Linked DNA regions of Oryctolagus cuniculus. The protein of the gene in region 4 binds, or shares a complex with, the protein of the main gene of each other region. Links are inferred from orthologs where the notes say so. Each region holds a gene or a part of one and is shown on either strand. Other genes may lie near its edges.

Region 1 (4,134 bases), on a different chromosome or scaffold from region 4:
ACTTCCAAAATATCATGCTTCTTAAGAATACATACATTACACTTAATTTAGATTAAGTGATAATAGTATATGGAAATTTTATCTTCAGTGAGTTTTTTTAATGCTTATGAAAAGTTCCAGCTAGTACTATATTTCTATGCGTAGTCTTCAGGAGTCAGGACCACAGCATAACACAGTGAATACATATGGACCACCACTGATGTCGTGTGTCAGTTATTTCCCAAAATGATACCATACTTTTAGAAGGGAAGACTTTTGTTCTAATGATTCCAAATATCTATGCATCCTTTCAGAAACTACATACCACTAAACAGTAAATAATTAAGCAAACATTCATTCAGCAGACTTGTTATTATAGCTGCTTTAAATTATTTCCAGGCCAAAACTCTTGCCATGCTTTTTGCAGTACAGAACTTTGAAGCTGCAATGTCTTAAATCAGCCTTACGCTGGAAGAAGTCTCAAACCGGTTTTGGAGGAGGCCTTGGGCTGTTTCATGTTCTCCATCAGCCCTTTTCCATTCAGAAGAAAAACAACATTCATCACAACTTGTAATTACATATTTATTTGCCTGATTATTTCATTCAAGTGATTCCAAAAAATGAGGATGTTGCTGTTTTTCTTTCCACTGTATCTTGAAAACATAGCAGAGAGCCTGGCAAGAGCTAGGTGCTTGATAAATATGCATAGAATGAATGATCTCCTACTCCGGAATGTATCCTTGCGAAAGCTTTTCATCTACATGATCTTGTCAAACTTTTCTCTAGAATAAAGCAACCAAGTCTGGCTCGACTAGCAGCAGTATAAACTCCAACTCACTGATGCTTAATACATCTCAGAAGCTAAGAGAAACACCAGCATTAATTCATCCAGCCAGCCAGCAAATACTTGAACTCCTTCTACCATGTGTCAAACACTATTTTAGATGCTTGACTCCACCCTCATGGTTTTTACAGGCTATGGGGGGAGAGCAGTGGGGAGGATATAATAAATAAATACATAATAAATACTATAGGAAAAAACCTAGACATTAAGGGAGTCAGAAAATGATGGGATGCAGGGCATGGCTGAGATCTGCTATTTCACAGAAAAGGAGAAAGACTACCTTACCAAGGATGACATACGTAAGAGGTAAAACAGCAAACCAGATGAGCAACCTACTGGATCCTTACCAGTGTTTATCAACTGAGAGCGACAGTGCATTCAAGAAACATTTGAAAATATGAGAAGGTAGGTAGTTGGGGTTTTCACACTGAGGTAGAGAAAGGGTGGGAAAGTGGATGAAGGTGGCGAGTGGGATGGGGATGCTAAGCTACAATGCCTGGGAAAGTTCAAACAGCAAGGAACTGCAAGACTAATTCTGCCCAAAATGCCCACTAAAATTCACCTTACCAAATGTCAGGGAAAAAAAGATTGTATAAATAATTTGATACAAGCATGCAACAGAATCATATTTTATGTAAATTTATTTATCCTAATTCAATTATATAGTTTCAATCCCACCATTTATTTAGTTCATCACATTCCATATGTGATATGGACTAGGTCTCAGTTCAAGAATTCAGAAGACAGTTATCCCAGGATTAACTCCTCTGTCTCATACTGTACACAAATACCTTGGATGGGGATTTCCCTATCTTGACCACCAAACTAGAGAATCATTCTCCCATTCTAATGTGGTAACATCTCCCATTCTCCACTCTGTCTGACAGTATCTCACATTATAAGACCAGCTCAAAAGATACTTTGTCTACAAGGTTTTTCAAAACTTTCTTAGTTGCTCACTCTTCAGCATTGCCATGACAATATGCTCTCCTCTCCACAAACAGACCTACCTCTCCTCTCCACAAACAGACACAGCATAAAGTTTTTCTTTACCTTCTTGTCCCTCAACCTAAATTATAAGCTTTTCCTGGGCAACAACTAGCCCTCGTCCATCTTTCTATTACCAGTACCGAGTACAGTGCCTGGCGCCTAACAGGCAAGGCGTACAAAGAACGGAGAATTAACGCTGTCCAAGTCAAACAAAGAATATGTCACACTAAAAAATGTACTTTAGCAAACCTAAGATCCTGGAAAACCCCAGCCTGAGTTGGGTTAACACAAGAAATAAGGTCAGAGGCTGTTAGAGAAACCTCCAGTTAAGCATTTTTTCCAAGTGCATGCTGAGAAGTGACAACTTCGGTGTTCTCTACGCAACACTGTCCGTGGACAACACATCTCGTGGTTTCTGCCAACCGGAAGGTCCTTGGACTCACCGAACCTGGGAGGTCTCAGTTTAGGGAGACCAGGTGATAATACCAGGTAAGATGCTCACCTTCCCGTTCGTGGGAGGCTCCTGGATGTAGATGTTGCTCATGCTGGTCAGTGCTCAGGGCTCTGTTCTTTACTGGGGATGCGAGCGGACGGCTGGTTCCTAAAGCTGTTCTTTTTTCATTACACGCTTCCTTAAGTTAGATGGCCTGGGAAAGCTTCAGTTGGTCAGTATCACGCAAGACAATTAGCACCAAGCACTACTTTCACCCAAAACTAGCCTCTCACGGACGCCGCCATGTTCCTCCTAGACCAGACCACCGCTAACTCAGAGAAAGGGAAGTCCGATATCGTCAACGGAATGATAAAAATATCCTAAAGCTTCACTGGCTTGATATAAATTGTAAATTGTTGTATCACTATTAAAAGGAACTCTCCGTAAATCTTGATAGTGTCTGTTGCACCATAATCGTGTGCAAGTCACACTCACCCCCCCAAAAGCTAGCCGCAATGGTTCAGACCAGGTGGAGTATGCACTATGACTCGCCCGGAAACTGCATCCGCAGCTTCTTGGTTCCGCTATCGCTAGAGGCTTATAGGGCCTTCCCTGCCTGTCGCGAAGGTGCCTCGGAGCGAGTGAGAGGCGGCCGCTTTTGCTGAACTTTGTCCCCGCAGCGGGCGGGAAGCAGACGCTTTCTCGACAGCTGAAGGCTCCGGCGACCCTTTATACCAGCGTCATGGCAGTCCCAGGTGAAGCCTAACAGGAGGACGCGTGCGTCCGAGCAGGAAGGGAGCGGTGGGGCAGGGTAGAGGGCGGTGAGCTGGGGAGGAGAGCAGAGGGCCTTTAGCTGGCGGCCCTGAAATGAACCGGTCTGGCTGGCTCACCCGGGAAAGTTTACACGACAGCTCCGAAGGCAGGAAACCTCCTCGTCCCCTAGCCGAGCCCCAGTCGCCCGGGATGACAGGGGAAGTGTGTTGTGGACGGGAGGGAAGAAGGAAGGGCAGTGACTAACTGTAGGCCCCAGCTGGCGGGCGCCCGAGAAAACCCTGCCTCGACTTCGGTATGGCTTAAAGTGAAATCGGGAGTGGGAGCTCCTGGAGGGTCCGGGTAGCCAGAGGCATTGCTGGCACTGGGATGAAGCGGGCGGGCGTGCGGGGTTCTACTCGGTTGCACGCCGCTGCTGTGTGGCCTGAGACTTCAGGCCTGGACTTTCTCGGCCTCAGTTTCCTTAACTGCAAAGAAGTAGCGCTGTTGGATCTGAGGTTCCTTCTAGCTCTCAGCTCTGTGTCCAGAGGTCACTGAGCCCCAGACGGTAGGCCCTGGGGAGGAAGTGCTTGTGAGATGCCCTGCTCCGCACCTACCCGCTTGTTGGAGGTTCTAGCAAGGACCGGCTTCGCCGTCAATCGGCCTTACCCAGGTGCTCTGCAGCAGATTCACAGTGCAAAAAGATTTTGCACAGTCCTCGGACTCAGAACCCCAACTTATTTAAACCTGCGCTTCCCGCCCATTATTTGACCTCATTCGTTGTTGTGCGGCTGCCTTTTCTGAACCTTATTCTAAAGACAGCTCTTGGGGGATTGCAAGTGCTTCTCTACCAACTGCAGTTTGGGGGCGAGCACTTCCGGAGTTGTGAGAGAGGAAACGGGCGCTATTAAGTGCCTACTGCACGCCAGATTCTCGGCTAAGCACTGGGAATTCAGTGGTAAACAAAGAGAGCTGCTCTTCACACAACTTACAAGAGAGAGAAATGTACAGAAGGTGGGAACAGTGCTGTGACAAATTAAAATCAAGGCCTTAGGAAACACGTGGAGAGGCCACCAAACAGGGTACAGGGAAGGCCAAAAGGAATTTCCAGAGGATGTGGTGTTTAAGGAGAAGCCTA
Region 2 (3,500 bases), on a different chromosome or scaffold from region 4:
TGTTATTATTATCACCTTCACTCTTCATGTGAGAAAACATAAGCTTAAAGTGAACAAGTTAAAGAACCCATTTGAAATCACAAAACTAGAAAACAGCAGAAGTGGGATTAGAACCCAAGTCAAATTAGTTGAAGGTTTAAGCTACACTGTACTGCCACACGGCCCACTGCCTCCTTCTCCAAAAGTATTACTTTCTCTCATTCTTACTAGAAGCTTAGAAAACTTAATTTAAATAGTGTCAAAAAGAAAAACACAGCAAGAGTGGAGGACACCCGTCCTTCCACTAGTCCTCCACCCAGGGGATGCATGCGGCACATGAACCGCCTGGTCCCTGACAGCATTTATATGGGCTGCAATGAAACCTTTGATTGAGGAAGACAATGAGGACCGAAGAGAAAGAAAGTTCTAAGTTATTATTGTAATTTTAGTTGGTATTAAGCACAAAGCTACCACAATCCCAAAAGTCTTCAAAGATTTGCTTCTGTAAGTGGATGCAGGTCAAAGTGAAATACAACACGAACATCACATACCTTGATATCATTGTCTATTCCACCAGAAATAATCTGATCACTTGTGTCATTGAAGGTCACAGCTAACACTTGGTATGTGTTCTGAAATGTCTGGATGGCTGCTTTCTTCCGGATATCCCAAAGCTAAAGCAGAGGAATAGGACAGTCTATCAGTAACATCTCCTTGAGAAGTAACTGCACAACATACTTGGTAGACATGAACACATCTAGAACAAGAACCTCATTCAGAAACTTTCTTGGATGTCCTAGCAACACATGGTAAAAAATGATCACAATTTTGCCAAATTATTTGAAGGCTGGTGGAATAAACTATTTTGGTTATATTTTCAGACTCCTTTGGTAATAAAGTTAGAATAAAATACTGTTAATCAACATGCCCTTGGAAGAAGTCCTCTATAAGTTTACTTCGTATATTCTTTAGGAGAAAGATATTAGACCACTGCCTAAAAAAAAAAAAAAAAAAAAAAAAAAAAAACCCACATATTTACTATTTGAAAGGCAGAGTTACAGTGAGAAAGGAGAGCAAGGGAGAGTGAGAGATCTTCCATTTACTTGTTTACTCCCCAAAATGGCTGAAGCTAGTACAGGCAGAAGCTAGGAGCCAGGAACTCTATCTGGGTGTCTCACATAGGTGGCAGGGGCAAAGCATTTGGCTCATCTTGTGCTGCTTTCCCAGGCACATTAGCTGGGACTGGATTGGAAGCTGAGCAGCCAAGACTTGAACTGGTTCTCATATGGGATGCTGGTGTCACAGGTGGTGGCTTAACCCACTGCATCACAGCTCTGACCCTACCTTGTTTTGTTTTTCAAAGATTTTATTTATTTATTTATTTTTAATTTGACAGGTAGAGTTATAGACAGTGAGAGAGAGACAGAGAAGAAGGTCTTCCTTCTGTTGGCTCATTCCCCAAATGGCCGCTATGGCCGGCGCTGTGCTGATCTGAAGCCAGGAGCCAGGTGCTTCTTCCCGGTCTCCCATGCGGGTACAGGGACCCAAGCACATGGGCCATCCTCCACTGCCTTCCCGGGCCACAGCAGAGAGCTGGACTGTAAGAGGAGCAACCAGGACAGAAGTTGGCGCCCCAACCGGGACTAGAACCTGGGGTGCCAGGGCCGCAGGCGGAGGATTAGCCTTGTGAGCCCCGGCGCTGGCCAGACCGCTCTCTCTTTGTATCCCTACCTTTCTATGTAACTGTCTTTCAAAATAGAAAAAAAAAAAAAAAAAAAAAAAAACTAAACGTTTTCATGTTTAGTTCTAGTCATAATTTCATAACTACATTCATAGTAGATGGTTTACTGTTAGTTATAATTAAAGTCAGTTAGTATCCTCTCCTATCCAAACAGTAATTTTTTAAAAGATCTATTTAATTATTTGAAAGACAGAGTTACAAAAATGGTGAGAAACAGAGAGATCTTCTATCTGCTGGTTCACTTCTCAAATGACCATAGCAGCTGGGACTGGTCTGGGTCAAAGCTAGGAGTTCAGAACTCCATCCAGGTCTCGCACATTGGTCACAGGAGCCCAAATACTTGGGCCATCTTCAGCGGCTTTCCCAGGCGCATTAGCAGGGAGGTGGATCTAAAATAGAGCACCTGGGACTCAAAACAGCACTCCAAAATGAGATATCACTGTCACAACTCTGGCCCCCTAAACAGTAATTTTATTAAATCATTCAGTAAATGTTTGTTGGCTCACCTCTCTGTCTCATCATGAAGGAAAAAACACTAAGATACAGTTCTAGCTCAGAGAGGAAATTGAGAACTGTTAACGAGAGGCAGAACAAAATATTTTTATATAGATTTTTAAAAGTTATGTTATTGGGGGCCGATATTGTGACGCAGTGGATTAAGTCCCCACCTGCAATGCCAGCATCCCATATGAGCACTGGTTCGAGTCCCAGCCTCTCTTTTTCTTCCAATCCAGCTCTCTGCTATGGTCTGGGAAAGCAGTGGAAGAGGACCCAAGTGCTTGGGCTCCTGCATCCGTGTGGCAGACCCGGAAGAAGCTCCTGACTCCTGGCTTCGGATCTGCCCAGTTCTGGCCACTGCGCCATTTGGGGAGTGAACCAGTGGTTGGAAGACTTTCTGTCTTTTCCTCACTCTGTAACTTTGCCTCTCAAATAAATAAATAAATGGCACACTTGCACACTGCTGGTAATAATGCCCCCTGGAGGTTTATGTTGTGTAAAACGGTCTGCCGGGGATCTGGGTTTGTCTTGAAACCCTGCAGCTAAAATTTTTATTGCATGTCTTGATTTATCTTACTGCAGAGTGGAGACTCAGACCTAAATTACTTAGACAGGAATCCTAGCTTTGTCACTTAGTAACCTGGAAAAGTGTACTCCATGTGACTTAGTTTTCTCCTCTATGAAATGGCTCTAAGCATACATGCAGAGCCAATCTACAAAGACTGGGAGAGTTTTTTTTACTTGTTCTAGGTGATAAAAGAATCACTAGTTGATAACTAAAATAATGGAACAAGACTTCAGTAGTTATGCAGGACAAACAACACAGTCTTCACAAAACTAGTTTAAAAAGTCACTAAACTGGGGCCAACACTGTGGCATAGAAGGTTAAGCCTTTGCCTGAGGAGCTGGTGTCCCATATGGGTCCCTGCACCCATGTGGGCAACCCGGAAGAAGCTATTGGCTCCTGACTTCAGCTGGGCCCAGTTCTAGCCCTTTTGGCCATTCGGGGAGTTAACCAGTGGATGGAAGACCTCTGTCTCTTCTTTTCTCTATGAGGAACTCTGCCTCTCAAAAAATAAATAAATCTTAAAAAAAAAAAAAAAAGTCGCAAAACAAACCAACAATGACAACTACAATGGCTCTGGTGTTGGGGCATAGTGGTTTGTTTTGTTTTGTTTTTTTGACAGGCAGAGTGGACAGTGAGAGAGAGAGACAGAGAGAAAGGTCTTCCTTTGCCGTTGGTTCACCCTCCAATGGCCGCCGCGGCCGGCGCACCGTGCTG
Region 3 (2,985 bases), on a different chromosome or scaffold from region 4:
GAGAACGCTAGTACAACTGTCCCGGGCCCAGCTGGCTGCCGCTGCCCTAAAGGCTGAATGGGTTACCATCTAGGCACACCTGCAGTGATTCAGACTGGTTGAGTGGGTCTGCTGTGGCGGTTTGCGCCGTAATAGAATTAGAGAGAGGGTAATAGATGGCGTTCAAACAGCTGGACAGTTTGAAATGAAGCCTGCCTTTTTGAGACGCTGCCTGTTTTTCTTAGATCAAAGGAAGAACTATCCGGGTAGATCATGTGGCTAATTATCGGGTTCCTAAAGTCTCAGAAGACATGGACGATGTGACCAGAGAGCTCCAGGCGATGGGCTGTGGTGTTAATACCCCCTCACCGAGTTCATCTGAGGATTCTGAAGAAGAGAAACCCATAAAAAAGCACAAAAAAGGTAAAACATTCAAACCCAAGAGAAACTTGGCAGTCTTAGCATCTGTTCCTCCTAGAGTTCATTGATGGTTGATAATCGGGTCATAAGTATGCGAAGGAGAGGTGGGGGGACCTTATTTTAATTGGGGAAGGGGAGGTGTCAGCAGAAGACTCCTGTTCTGGGTTGAATTGTGTTCCCCAGAATCGACACGTTGAACTCCTCACCCCTAGTCCACTGTGACTGCATCTGGACATGTGGTTTTCAGAGAGAGACTGGAGTGGGAATGGCCGTGCCCAGCAACTTGACGTTGCGGGTGACAGACATCGAAGTTGCTTCCCCGCAGCACTTTCCCAGAAGCACAGGGTGACGGCTTCACGCTGCTGCCCAGCCTATTTTCCTTGCCCATGGGCTCCCCTCCCGGCAGGCAGGCATTGGTAAACTGGTCTACCTTTGCTGGATGTCACGTACACGGAGAGGAAAGACATGGCTTTAGGGAGTTCTATTTCCCTTTTGTTACCGATTGTCGCCCTTCTTCTCCAGACAAAATGGAAAAAAAGAAAAGACGGAAAGAGAAAGAGAAAGAGAAGAGTGACCGGACAGTACTGGTCGAGCAACCATCTCCCTCTTCCTTGCCCAGAAGCAAGACAATAAAGGAAAAGGATGAGCCTGGCCCTAAGACAAGCAGCACCAAGGGCTCCGAGAAGGTGCCGAAGTCGGAGTCCAGGGAAGCACGGAAGCACTACCCTGTCTCCCCTGAGGTCAGAACTGTCCCCCGCGGTGGAGTTGAGGACCTGGCCAGGGAGCTGAAGAAGGAGAAATCCAAGCATGAGCACAGGTCCTCCGACAGGAGAGAGGCCAGAGAAGAAAGGAACAGGGATAGGGACAAAGGACGAAGCTCAGACGCGTGTTCTAGCTGGCACAATGGGCATTCGGATGGGTGGAGCCATCGGAGTAGAAGTCGGAGCCGAGATCGATCTCACAGACAGAAGAAGTCCCGTAGCTCCCGGGAGCGGGAGTCCTCAAATCTCAGTGAGCGTAGGCGTCACTGAAGCCAGTTCAGCCGCTCGGTAGATCTGGAAATGAAATGTGTTTCTAAAATGCAGTCAGATTCAGCTACGCCATTACTTCTCCATATGAAATCTCTAGAGCTGATTTTTAAAAAATCCCTTGAGTAGTGGAGTCCTTGAGAAGGCTGTGGTTTCATTGGCAGATACCCTGCATTTTCTAGTACAATCCATCATCCCTGGAAATATACTTGGAACTTAACAGAGAACGTGTCCTGAATTTTCGTTCATAAATTGGCCATGGGGCCCATAGCCCCCCCAGCTTGAGATGAAATTGCCAGAAAAGGAAAATTACAGACAATTCTAGAGGCCTAGTCTTTGTCTTCAATGTTGAGAACCCAGCATTCTAAGACTTCCAGTTAGCAGGTAGAACTGCAGTGAAGTGTGGTTTAACTAGGTTCAGACAGCTGGAGGTGAATGTGATGGGATTCTTTTTTTTTTAAGTATTAATTTTATTTATTTGAAAGGCAGTGTTACAGAGGAAGGGAGGGAGAGACACAGAGATCTTCCATCTGCTGGTTTACTCCCCAAATGGCCACAACAGCCAGGGCTGGGCCAGGCTGAAGCCAGGAGCCAGGGACTCCATCCAGGTCTCCCACATGGGTTTGGGGACCCAAGTACTCAGGCTATCTTTCACTGCTTTGCTGGGCGCATTTAGCAGAGAACTGGATCGGAAGTGAAGCAGCTGCAGCTCAAAACTGTTGCTCATCTGAGATGCCAGCATCACAGGAGCCAGCTTACCACTGCACTACAACGCCAGTGCCTGATGGGATTCTTAAGAACAACCAGCTCCCTCTCTAAACCCTGTTTGAAAACAGCTTTAAATGTCTTGTCTTTTTCTTTTTTTGGTTGAGATATTTTTCCACATACTTTTTTCCCTTGGAATTCTTTGTATTGATGTGAAATGCAGATAACATAAAGTTAACCAATTCAAAGCAATTCAGTGGCACTTATATTCACCATGTTGTGCAAACACCACCTGTGTCTAGTTTTGAAGCATTCACATTGTCCCCAAATAAAACCTAATACCTATTAAGCAATAACGTGCCATTACCCCTATCCTCCCTGTCCCTGGAAGCCACCCATCTGCTTTCTGTGTCTATGGATTTGCCTGTTTGGGATGCTCCACAGAGCAGGAATCACACAGCAGTGGCGTTTTGTGTCTGGCTTCCTTCACTAAGCATAATGTTTTCTAGGTTCATCCATGTTATAGCATGTATCAGTACTGCACTCTGTTTTAAGGCTCAATAATATCCTGTTGAGAGACCACGCTTTGTTTCTCCATTCCTTGGGACGGACGTTAGGATTGTTTCTACCTTTGGTTAGTCAGCTTCCTGTTTTGTGTGCAGACACGCCAGGCGACCTTCTGTGCTTGGTTTGCTTTTCACGTAGCCGCTCTTGCTCAGGTGGGAACACTGGTAGCTCCATCGCACACCTTTGGTCTGATTGGTAGTTCCTTCTCATTTTGAATCTTAGTTTCTATTATAGCACTCAGCCCCTTATGAATTTGGCAGGAACTGGTTCACAGGCCCTGCTGCAG
Region 4 (4,247 bases):
TGACTCGGGCTTGGCCGGCTGCTGCCCGCTGCCCCTGCAGCCCCAGACCCGCTCAGGGTTAAACCACGGGTCCGCCCCTCACCCGCCAGCCCACCCTCCCTCGCCCTGCTTGACCTACCCTGCCTTCTTGTCTTTCTCGGGAGCCTCTTCCTCCTCATCTTCCTCCTCCTCCTCCTGGCGCTTCCTCCGCAGGTGTTTCCGTTTTTTGCGCCTCTTCTGGACGCTGCTCCCAGCCCTGCCCACGGCCTCCTCGCTGCTCTCTTCACTGTCTTCCAGCAGCTGATAAGACCGGTTCTTCTCCAGCAGGGCTCGGGCCTCTCGCTCCGCCGCCCGAGTTGGCTTTTCTACCACCGCCTTCCGCGGTACCTGTCAGGGATAAGCAGCGTGAACAACTCCTGACCGCTGCTCACCCCCCTGGCTGTCCCTGACTTAAGGACTTGATCTTAGATCAGCCAGCATTCCCTCTCCTCCCCATGACTTCATCCTGCTCTCATCTCAACAGAGCCCCTCAGTTTCTGAACTTCCTTTCCGTCATTCACTTTTTTAAAGACTGACTGATTGATTTTAAAGAGCTACAGGCCGGCGCCGCGGCTCACTAGGCTAATCCTCTGCCTAGCAGCGCCGGCACACCGGGTTCTAGTCCCGGTCGGGGCGCCGGATTCTGTCCCAGTTGCCCCTCTTCCAGGCCAGCTCTCTGCTGTGGCCAGGGAGTGCAGTGGAGGATGGCCCAGGTGCTTGGGCCCTGCACCCCATGGGAGACCAGGAAAAGCACCTGGCTCCTGGCTCCTGCCATCGGATCAGCGCAGTGCGCCGGCCGCGGCGGCCATTGGAGGGTGAACCAACGGCAAAAGGAAGACCTTTCTCTCTGTCTCTCTCTCTCACTGTCCACTCTGCCTGTCAAAAAAAAAAAAAAAAAAAAAGAAAAGAAAAAGAAAGACAGAGCTACAGAGAGGCAGAGAGAAAGGTCTTCCACCTGCTGGTTCACACCCCAGATGGCCACAACCCTATCTAAGCCAGGAGCTAGGACATTTCTCCGGGACGCCCAAGTGGGTGCAGGGGCACAAGACTTGGCCATCCTCTACTGCTTTCCTAGGTGCATTAGCAGAGAGCTGAATCAGAAGTGGAGCAGTTGGGACCCGAACCAGTACCATATGGAATGCCGGCGCTGTAGGCGGCAGCTTCACCCCCTATACCACAGCCTCCTTGTTTAACACACGTTTAATGAGGTCTATCCCACCTGTCGGGTACTTGCTAGGTACTAGGGATCCAGAATGAACAAAAATCTCTGCCCTCCCAGAGCTTACAACCCCACACCCAGTTCTCAATCACTTGGCCACTTTCTTATAGTTCTGCTTTTCCCAAGGATTTAAGTCATTCCTACACAAGGACTGACAGGCTACAAGGGTTAACTCTGCAATGTGGGGCCGGCGCTGTGGCGCAGCAGGTTAAAGCCCTGGCCTGAAGCGCCTGCATCCCATATGGGTGCCGGTTCTAGTCCCGGCTGCTCCTCTTCTGATCCCGCTCTCTGCTATGGCCTGGGAAAGCAGTAGAAGATGGCCCAAGTCCTTGGGCCCCTGCACCCACGTGAGAGACCTGGAAGAAGCTCCTGTCTTCGGATCGGTGTGGCTTCAGCCATTGCGGCCACCTGGGGGTGAATCAGTGGATGGAAGACCTCTCTGTCTCTACCTCTCTCTGTAACTCTGTCTTTCAAATAAATAAAATAAATCTTAAAAAAAGAAAAAAAAAAAAAAAAAACTCCAAAACTTCGCAATGTGACACCGGCTGTCACACATCACCACATCACCTGTAGATGGCAGGATACACCGGCCACAGGTCCGCAGGCGGAGCCGCACCAGGCTCTCTACCGTTCTGGGACACTCCCACTCTGTGCACACATGGGGCCCTGCTCTGTCCGACAGACAACGGCTGGGCAGGAGGACTACCCGGACAGACGCCAGCGATCCTCCAGGAGTTCACCGCTCACACCTTCGCTCCCTCCCCCTTCTCCACTTGACAAATCCCCGGGGATCCTTGGGCCTGAGTTTGCTGAACACTGTCCCCGCCGCCTCTTCTGCTCTCCCGCAGTGTTTCCCAACCACCTCTTCTAGAGCCTGGCCACTTACAGCCCGGCCCGCGGACCACGGGCATTTGAACAAGGACCACAGCTGACTCCTACGCAGGTTGAAGCTGGAGGAACATTGCTTTACAGCACTCAACCCACCCCATGTAAGACCTGCCGGATGCTCTCCACCGAGCCGGACGCCCGGCACCAGGCACAGTACCCAGCCTACAGTCGGCAAAGGATGACTGTGCCTTTAGCTTATTTATCTCCCCGATGGACAACCGGGCCAGCCTCCCCCGGACGCGTAACTCGGGGCCCTCCCCTGCCCCGCCCCTCGGACACCTTGTTCCAGAGCCTCAGAGCGAAGTCCCGCGCCGGCCCGCCCAGGTCCAGCGTGTCGGTGTCTCGTAGGCGCTGCACGAACTCCTCAGCCGAGGCGCAGCGCTGCGCGGTTCCAATGAGGAACTGGGCGACGTGCCGCTCGCTCAGTCCCAGCACCGAGTGCAGCTCCTCCTGAACCCAGCGCTCCAGCCCCGCCGGCGTCGCCATGGCCACCCACCTGCCCGGTCCTCAGCGCTGAGGCGTCCGGAGCAGCCGCGCCGGCGGCCGGGCCTGTGGCAGGCCCGGGGCACCGGGCCGGAGCCTTAGCCCCGCGACGGAGCTGCTTTAGAACCTCAGGGTTCGGTTTCCAACAGTCCAAACCCGCCTTCCGCCGAGCCCGGAAGAGGATGCTCGTTTCCGGCCTAAGCACTACGGTGGCTACGCGAGTTCAAATCTCGCAGAATCAAATCTCGCTCTGGGTAGCACATTTTCCTTCCCTGCCCGATTTCTCTATCGCCCCCTGATGGTCAGTGGAGGCTTCGCTAATTCATTCGTTCAAAGGAGATTAATTCAATGAGCGCCTAAAAAAAGGCGTTTTAAGCACGGTGTAAAATGTTGGGGATACTGCAGACGGTAAATCAGACAAAACATCGAGTTTACATTCAGAGTTCAAGGGAGGTAAGCCACATAATAAATAAGTAAAAGTACATATTTTCTACCGGGTCTAAAATAGTTCAAGGTAAGGGGACGCGGGCTGCCGGCTTTATTTCAAATGAGATCATGTTCATGCTGTGAAAGATTAGCAGGTGCTGAGCAGGATTGACCTTTGCTAGAAATGGTATCTGCAACAAAAGTGAATACAGGTTAGCTATAAGGGGAGTTCCAAGCAGGAAGAAAGTTGGAACTGGGGAAACTGTTGCAAGAAAAAATTTGGGCCAGCCGGCGCTGTGGCACATCAGGTTAAAGCACCAGTATCCCATATGGGTGCCTGTTTGAGTCCCAGCTGTTCCATTTCTGATACAGCTCCCAATGCAGGAAAGCAGCAGAGAATAGCCCAAGTCCTTGCGCCCCTGCACCCACAAAGGAGACCTGAAAAAGCTCTGGGCTTCAGATTGGCTTAGCTCCGGCCCTTGCAGCCATTTGGGCAGTGAACCAGCAGATGGAATACGTCTCTCTCTCTCTCTCTCTCTCTCTCTCTCTCTGTCTATCCCTCTCTTTGTAACTGTCTTTCAAATAAAGAAAAAATTTTCCTTAAAAAAAAAAAGACAAAATTATCTGAAATGGGCAAACTGTGTTCAGCGTTTGTGCTGTCAGTTTGATTAATTCACTGGTGGCTGCTTATTGAAAGATAAGCTGGGGCCAGCGCTGTGGCGCAGCGGGTTAACACCCTGGCCTAAAGCACCAGCATCCCATATGGGTGCCGGTTCTAGTCCCGGCTGCTCCACTTCCCATCCAGCTCTCTACTGTGGCCTGGGAAAGCAGTAGAAGATGGCCCAGGTCCTTGGGCCCCTGCACCTGCGTGGGAGACTTGGAAGAAGCTCCTGGCTTCTGGCTCCAGATCAGCACAGCTCGGCCATGGCAGCCATCTGGGGAGTGAATCTCAGATGGAAGACCTCTCTCACTCTCACTCTGCCTCTCTGTAACTCTGCTTTTAAAATAAATAAATAAAATAAAGAAAGAAAAAGAAAGATAAGCTGAGAGGGCTGGCATTTTACAGTGGGTTAAGACACTGCCTACATCCTATATGGGTGCTGTTTTGTGCCCCAGCTGGTCCACTTCTGACCCAGCCCTCTGCTAATGTGCCCAGGAAAGCAACAGAGGATGGCCCAACCAGTGTGTGAGATCCGGAAGAAGCTCCTGGCTT
Region 5 (3,500 bases), on a different chromosome or scaffold from region 4:
TCCTCCAGGGCCCCTCCCCCAACAACGTGCACGGGCAGACGCCCCGGGAGCAGGGGGACCCCGGGACAGAGCAGCAGCCCACAGGAGCCCAGCGGGGCGCGGGGCGCGGGGCACAGGGGTGGGAAGTGGCAGACGCCGGCAGGTGCGGAGGCTCAGCCGCAGCCCTGCCGCAGTCTTCACAGGCAATTAGGGGCCTCCCTCGGCTCCGGGAGCACCACCCTGCTCGCACCCAAACCCCTCTCCCAGGCTGGCGCCTGCCGGGCCATACCTGGGTCTACTATCTTTATGTTATTCTTGACGTGGAAGAAGTTGGAGACGTTGAACTTGTCCAGATTGGTGGGGTCCTGCGGCAGAGCGAGAGCACTCAGCAGAGCGAGCACAGGGCTGGGCACGGCACCCGGCCACCGGCTGCCCTGAGGCCCGGGACCTCTAACCAGGAAGGGGCATGAGGCAGGTGGGGCCGCCCATTTGCCACACCACGTCCCCTCCCTCCGGGACACCTGGCTAAGGAGCAATGCTCGCTGTGCGGGCAGCCACGTTGGCCCGAGCCTCAGGTCCACCCCATCGGCACCTGCTTTTCTTTCTCTGGTTTATTCTATCGGAAAGGCAGAGGTGGCGAGAAACAGCACAGGCGGAGAGAGAGCTCCCCCCTGCTGGCTGACTCCCCAGGTGACAGCAGTGCCCTGGGCTGGTCAGGCCAGGCCAAAGCCGGGAGCCAGGAGCTCTATCCGGGTCTCCCATGTGGACCATCACCTGCCACCTCCCAGGGTGCGCATTTGCAGGAAGCTGGATGGAGGGGGGCCCTGCCCTGGACTAAGAGCTCTGACACAGGACGTGGGCGTCCCAAGCGGCTTATTAGTCATTATTATTATTATTAATAATTATTATATAATATATATTATATATTATATTATTATTATTATTATTATCAGCTGGGCCAAAACCCCAGCTCTTCAGAGCATGTCACTCGGGACAGGGACACCTGTGCCACATGCCCAGGCACCGTGCACTGCAGCCCCTGCCTAGAGGTGGCAGCCGCCGAGTCAGGGGCCCTGACCCAAGGCAGCGAGAGAGGCAGAATGAGGAGGCAGCTGAGCCGAGGCCAGTGTGACAGAGGTGGGAGGGGGCGGCTGGGGACACTGAGGGTGGCTTCCGGAGACCACCCAGCTGGGCGGGGTGCACCCACCTGCAGGGTGATGATGTCCTGCCGGGAGAAGGGCTCGTCGGTCAGCAGGTCCCGGAAGTTCTTGGCCTTGATGTTCAGCTGCTCCACAGCCTGCAGGAGGAGGGAGCTGGCGTCAGGGGCCCGCCCTAGGCCGCCACACCATCTGGGGAAGAGAACTGGCCAGAGCCAACGGCACAGACCTCACAGGCTTGGGGCCGGCCCTGCCGTGAAGGGTGGGGCTCCCAGACAGCGACCAGAACCAGCTGGGGGACGACTTACAGACAGCAAACAGGCTCAGTGAGCCCTCCCCCCAACACGTGCCTGCCCTGGCATCACCTCCCTCAGCCGGCCAGGAAGAGCCAGGCCAATCTGTGTGCTCCAGGCAAGAAGCGGCCCCCAGAGCCTGGGGCAATGCTGGCCAACAACCCGCAAGGGCCCAAGCTTGGGAGGAGAGGCGGCAAAGCCAGGGGCCTTCCTGCAGGTGGGGCTGCTCCCAGCCTCAGCGGCCGCCTACTCTCCCAACAGCCACTTTGGCCGGAGCTCCTCACCAGCGCCTCTGCACAGCTCCCTCCAGGGGACAGCACCTGGCCTGGCCTGCTCCCCATGCAGCCCTGGGGGCTGGCCCAAGGACAGCCTGGTCTTAGGCGTGGGAGGACCCTCTGGGGTCCCACGGGCCCCAGCCCAGCAGGCAGCAGTGCCTGGATTTCAGGTGCGGAGGCCACGGGAGGCACCCCAGTCTCTGGGCTGATACTGAGCAGGCCCAAGCACCTGGCTCACCACCACCCCCAGCCCACTGCGGCGAGGACGCACCTCGTAGGCGTAGACGTTGCCCGTGGTCCTGACAGCCACGATGTGGGTGTTGTTGGTGAACACGGTAAACAGCACCGGGCAGTGGTACTTCCCTGGGGGATAGGCACACGCCGGGAGGGAGGCCCATCACCGCGCCGGCCCCCGCCATCCCAAGCGACAACTGCCAGGGACCGCCCAGAGCAGGCACCGGGGAGGCGGGGGTGGGAGACAGCAGCTGCTCAGGCCCACCAATGCCGCCTGGAAACTCCTATTCATCCTGCAAGACATGACCTCTGCGCTGCCCCTTCCCCCAGCCCACCTCTGGTGACCACTGCGCCACAGACAGCCCCAGTAGGCCCTCCCCAAGCACACCCTCCAGCCGCCCCGTCAGCTCTGCCTGCACACCCGGCCTGGCCCCTGCCCGGGTCACTGCAGCCAGCGACCATCGGTCTCCGCCAAGTCAATCCCAGGACTCAGAGGTTAAGAGGCTTAGGACACAGGCCACAGTGGTCTGGCCTCAAAGGCTGATTTGAAAACTATGGAGGAAGAGTTAGGAGCGCATCCCAGCGATCTGAGCCCTGGCAGCCCCGGGCCCCGTTCCAGGGATGACAGAGGCGCCCGCTGGGCCGCACGTAAGTAGGGAATGATGCTGGGGCTGGGATCTGCTTCATCTCGGTGGGCCGAGAACGGAGAGGAGCTAGGGCTGAGACGGAGACAGGCACTGCTCTCGGAACGCAAAGCAAAGCAAAAGAGAGAAACTGCTTTTCAAAAAAAACCAACAAAAACACGGAAGACACAGGGGCCAACTGTCCCCCTCCATCCCCTTGGGGGCTCCTTCCAGGCTCTGCACCTTGACCTCAGCCGTGAACTCCCACTGCACTCCCCACCGAGCAAAGACGTCATCAAGTGCACGCCCACCCCAGGGCCTCTGCACTGGTGGTGCCCTGCCTAGAATGCTCTCCCCCACGTGGCTCCCTCCCATCAGACTCCCGCTCTAACCTGTCAGCAAGGGTCCCATCTCCCCCAGCCCGCCCGCTCCTGTCTACGCAGAAGCAGCACCAGACCGTTCTCTGGCTCTCTCCCCGACCAGCACGGAAGCCCCCTCCCTCGGCTGTGCACAGACGGGGCCTCTGTCGCTCTCTGCCTGTGGCAGGTCCTCCTGCAGCCTTTGCTGAGTGAGATCACAGCGGGGCAGAGGCCCGAGTTCCCTGACCTCCACGACTGGCCATGGCGCCCAATGCCACGCGGGCAGTGGGGCTGGCACACCTATGCTCCTGGGAGCCCGGTGCCAGTAACGCACCAGGCCGTGGAAAAGGCAGCCCTGGGCACACATGCCCGGTGAGCGCTGATGACAGCCTACGCAGGCGAGGGAAGCCAGGCCAGGGTCAGCAGGCGAGGCAGCAGCAAGCTGGAGGGTCCCCCACACGGCTGTCTGGACCATGGCGGGGGTCCGTGGGGAGAGCAGGGGGCCCCAGAGCGGGGCTGGGCCTGGGCGGGCCGTGGTGAAGAGGAGCGTGGAAACCCCTTGCGGCCACTCTGGCCTGAG
Region 6 (3,500 bases), on a different chromosome or scaffold from region 4:
GTGCTTAAAGACACAGCGTGCTGAACTGAGGATCTGGATGCAGAGTCTCTGGTCACTGAACACAGCCCCCAAGACACATCGCTGTGCATGTGTGCATTAACCCGCACATGGGCTCCGCCTGACACAGAGATGATCCTCACTGACGAGAGATAAATTACTCCTACACCAGAAGAGAAGGTGGCACAGAAGGAAAAGATATCCTACAAAAAGCTGAAGAAACAAAAACTTACGGGCTGGGAATAAATTCAGCATAAAACAAATACAAATTAAAAGCAAAAAAAAAAAGTTAATAACAGTGAGATATCTCGTGAAATCACTATGTTTGGAATTTCACAATGCACTTCTAAATAATCCATGGATCAGAGATCCAAGAAGAAATATTTTAAAAATCCATAATACATGAAAAAACTCTCAGTAAACTAAGAATAGAAGGGAGCTTCCTCAACTTAGTAAGGTTTACTGACAAAAAACATAATTTACAAAGCCATTTTTAATGGTAGAAGACCACGTTCTCCTAAGATCAGGAATAAAGCTCTTCCTACTCCTAGCCAGCATCTGTACTGGAAAGGCTACCTAATGCCACACACAGGAAAAGAAACAAAAGGCATTCAGAATGGAAAGAAGCAGCAAAACGGTCTGTATTCAAAAACAGCATGATCTTCTAGATACAAAATCTGATGGAGTTTACAAAAAAAGCTATTGTACAAGATGAGCTGAAAAACTGACAATATTTGTTACCAATGGAAAAATTCAAGCTTTTAAGTGTAAATTAGAATTTTGAAAAATTGTCACCATAATTCTTTAGCTTCCCATATTTAAAGAGACTTGCAGTAAGGTAAGACTAGCGAAAGTATAACTGTATAATGAAAACATGTCAGCATTTGGAAGAGCTGAAAAACTCAGCAAACCAGTATTTTGCAAATGATCAATGAGTGATGTTATAAAATCACGTATGGGGGCAGGCATCTGATGTACTGATTAAGATGCTACTTGGAATGCCAGCATCCCTTACCACAGTCTGGGTTTGAGTCCCAGCTCCACTCCAGATTCCAGCTTCCTGCTAATGCAAACCCTGGGAGGTAGCAGGTGATGGCTCAAGTGGTTAGATTCCTACCACCCATGTGGGAGATCTACATTGAATTCTGGCTCCTGGCTTTCAACTGGCCCAGCCTTGGCTAAAACAAGCACTTGAGACATGACACAGCACATAGGAAATCCATCTGTCTGTCTCTCTGCCTTTCAAATTAAATAAGTAAGTAGACAAAAAATTAGAACAAGAGTCTAGAAATAACAACAAAAATGAACTGAAGTCAAAGATTCACTCAAACTAGGAAAAAGATAAATGGATTTTTATGCAACAGTATGAAAAGTTCCCTGATATGGTTTCAGATCCCACTAAGTAACCTTCAAGAAACTGGCACTTACTTGAGATGTTGTACAGTATCAGTGAATATAATATGTGTTCCCTTCTCCACCTAGCCTATGTGCAAGGCTGACTTTTCTTTAGCTAAACAACATTTCACAACAGACAAATGCAGACCCCAGCTGCTGAAGTCAGACATTAATGAGACTTGCAAAAGCATAGATCAACACTATCCTTGTCAGTACTTTTTTAATTTGAAAAATATAGCTATTTTTTATAAAAGTAATATGGCAATTATTTTAACACGTAACAGCTTTACTTTTTTAGAATAAATTAAAATAAGAATAGTATATTCTAAATTAATATTTAATTAATATTTTTAGAATAAATATAATTAAATGTCTCAGTTTTAATCTCTAATATGGCAAATATTAATATAATCTATGTAAATAAATAAAAGCTTTTGGGAATCCTAAATAATTTTTAAGAGTGTAAAGGGGTCATGAGATTAAAAATTTTGAGAATCACTGTGTTAGATACTAGAATGTTCTTTAGCAGGCAAGAGGAGATGGGATCTAATAAGTAAGTAGAAGGACTGACTTGGAGTAGGAGAAAATACAGCTCATACATCATAACAGACAAGAAGTTAGAGTACATGGAAACAGATGCTGGTGGTTGAATAGATGAGAGTCTGTGAAACATTACAAGCAGCTCACTGCTCAGAGAGTGAAGGAAATGAAGGTTCAGGGACTACATTTTAAAGATACAGACCACAATCCATAACTCATTCCCTCTAAACCTTAGAAAATATCATTAAAAGGCCAATGTCCAAGACAAAAGATGCCCTACCTTGACCACGTCAATTCTGAAAAAGAAACAGGAGGGAGGGGAGTGTTCCAAGTATGGGAAATAGGATTTGTGAACCTCAGAACTAGAAGCAAGCAAAATGTGTATTATTCACCTTGTGATTACAGCAGAGAATGAGGCAGAGTATAGAGTGATTTAAAAACAGTGAGGAAAGATTAAGGTCAGACAGAAGAGAAAATGAAAATGTAGGAAATAATCATGATTACCTGTCCACTCCATCCCAGCGATATCCAGGCCAGATATTGAATCTGTTGGGAGGAGGTGCTGGGCCATTGTAGCGAGGTCGCACTAATGAGAGGAATGAAAAAAAAAAAATAGTTTCTGCATTGTAGTGCAGTGGGTCAAGCCGCCACCCGCAATGCTGGCATCGCATGTGAGCACTGGTTTGAGTCCTGGCTGCTCTGCATCCAATGGAGCTCCCTATTAATATGCCTAGGAAAACAGTGGAAGATGGCTCATTTACTCGGGCCCCTCCCACCCACATGGAAGATCGGATGGAGTTCCAGGCTCTCAGCTTCCACCTGGCCCAGCCCTGGCCATTGGGGCCTCTTGGGGAGTGAACCAGCAGATGGAAGATGGATCTCTGTCTCTCCCCTGCACATCTGCCTTTCAAAAAAAGTCTCAAGTTGAACCTAACTTTATAAATACAAGGAATTTAAAAGTGTATGAGAGGGGCTGGTGGTGTAGCCAGAAAAGCCATCGTTGCAATGCCAGCATCCCATATGGACACCAGTTTGAGTCCCGGCTGCTCTACTTCCAAACCATCTCCTTGCTAATGCACCTGGGAAAGCAGCAGAGGAAGGCCCTAATAATTGGGCCCTTGTACCTACACGGGAGACCTAGAAAAAGCTCCTGGCTCCTGGCTTCAGACTGGCCCAGCTCTGGCCGTTGGCCATTTGGGGAGTGAACCAGCAGATAGAAGATTTCTCTCTCTCTGTCTCTCCCTCTCTCTGTAACTCTTTCTTTCAAATAAATAAATAAATCTTAAAACACAAACAAAAAACCAAAGTTGTTCAAATCTCAACTTTAGAGACAAACTGCTTTAAAAAAAAAAAAAAAAGTGAATGGGAAAGCCTTCTTTGCACATAGCTGTGTATTAGTACCCTAATAACTGTCTTTCTTCACATAAATCCCCTCTAGTCACTTCTGGTGACTGCCGGAAGTCTCACCTTTCTTATTCTTGCTCTCCTTGGCCTTACTCTTCTTGATGAAGTTGGCCATGGGGTCTCCTTCTCTTTCTTGTTCTCTCAGCATCCGATCCAGATCTTCA

What was found.
Region 1: DHX16 (region 4) and CWC27 share a complex: the UniProt entries of both Homo sapiens proteins name them as parts of the minor spliceosome. The link is inferred for Oryctolagus cuniculus from reciprocal best matches to the Homo sapiens genes DHX16 and CWC27.
Region 2: DHX16 (region 4) and SNRNP40 share a complex: the UniProt entries of both Homo sapiens proteins name them as parts of the minor spliceosome. The link is inferred for Oryctolagus cuniculus from reciprocal best matches to the Homo sapiens genes DHX16 and SNRNP40.
Region 3: DHX16 (region 4) and RBMX2 share a complex: the UniProt entries of both Homo sapiens proteins name them as parts of the minor spliceosome. The link is inferred for Oryctolagus cuniculus from reciprocal best matches to the Homo sapiens genes DHX16 and RBMX2.
Region 5: DHX16 (region 4) and PPIL2 share a complex: the UniProt entries of both Homo sapiens proteins name them as parts of the minor spliceosome. The link is inferred for Oryctolagus cuniculus from reciprocal best matches to the Homo sapiens genes DHX16 and PPIL2.
Region 6: DHX16 (region 4) and BUD13 share a complex: the UniProt entries of both Homo sapiens proteins name them as parts of the minor spliceosome. The link is inferred for Oryctolagus cuniculus from reciprocal best matches to the Homo sapiens genes DHX16 and BUD13.

The regions. Positions count from the first base shown.
Region 1 is NC_091445.1:85,759,123-85,763,256, reverse strand, and holds the start of CWC27 (spliceosome-associated protein CWC27 homolog), read right to left. Parts: upstream 2,801-4,134; 5' UTR 2,358-2,800; coding exon 2,316-2,357; intron 1-2,315. UniProt on the Homo sapiens protein: As part of the spliceosome, plays a role in pre-mRNA splicing. Probable inactive PPIase with no peptidyl-prolyl cis-trans isomerase activity. As a component of the minor spliceosome, involved in the splicing of U12-type introns in pre-mRNAs.
Region 2 is NC_091438.1:141,089,577-141,093,076, reverse strand, and holds part of SNRNP40 (U5 small nuclear ribonucleoprotein 40 kDa protein), read right to left. Parts: intron 654-3,500; coding exon 531-653; intron 1-530. UniProt on the Homo sapiens protein: Required for pre-mRNA splicing as component of the activated spliceosome. Component of the U5 small nuclear ribonucleoprotein (snRNP) complex and the U4/U6-U5 tri-snRNP complex, building blocks of the spliceosome.
Region 3 is NC_091453.1:108,064,832-108,067,816, forward strand, and holds the end of RBMX2 (RNA-binding motif protein, X-linked 2), read left to right. Parts: intron 1-224; coding exon 225-402; intron 403-921; coding exon 922-1,430; 3' UTR 1,431-2,485; downstream 2,486-2,985. UniProt on the Homo sapiens protein: Involved in pre-mRNA splicing as component of the activated spliceosome. As a component of the minor spliceosome, involved in the splicing of U12-type introns in pre-mRNAs.
Region 4 is NC_091436.1:139,758,352-139,762,598, reverse strand, and holds the start of DHX16 (pre-mRNA-splicing factor ATP-dependent RNA helicase DHX16), read right to left. Parts: upstream 2,801-4,247; 5' UTR 2,612-2,800; coding exon 2,405-2,611; intron 367-2,404; coding exon 119-366; intron 35-118; coding exon 1-34. UniProt on the Homo sapiens protein: Required for pre-mRNA splicing as a component of the spliceosome. Contributes to pre-mRNA splicing after spliceosome formation and prior to the first transesterification reaction.
Region 5 is NC_091452.1:29,116,114-29,119,613, forward strand, and holds part of PPIL2 (RING-type E3 ubiquitin-protein ligase PPIL2), read right to left. Parts: intron 2,068-3,500; coding exon 1,976-2,067; intron 1,277-1,975; coding exon 1,187-1,276; intron 345-1,186; coding exon 269-344; intron 1-268. UniProt on the Homo sapiens protein: Has a ubiquitin-protein ligase activity acting as an E3 ubiquitin protein ligase or as an ubiquitin-ubiquitin ligase promoting elongation of ubiquitin chains on substrates.
Region 6 is NC_091432.1:108,711,949-108,715,448, forward strand, and holds part of BUD13 (BUD13 homolog), read right to left. Parts: coding exon 3,400-3,500; intron 2,519-3,399; coding exon 2,437-2,518; intron 1-2,436. UniProt on the Homo sapiens protein: Involved in pre-mRNA splicing as component of the activated spliceosome. As a component of the minor spliceosome, involved in the splicing of U12-type introns in pre-mRNAs.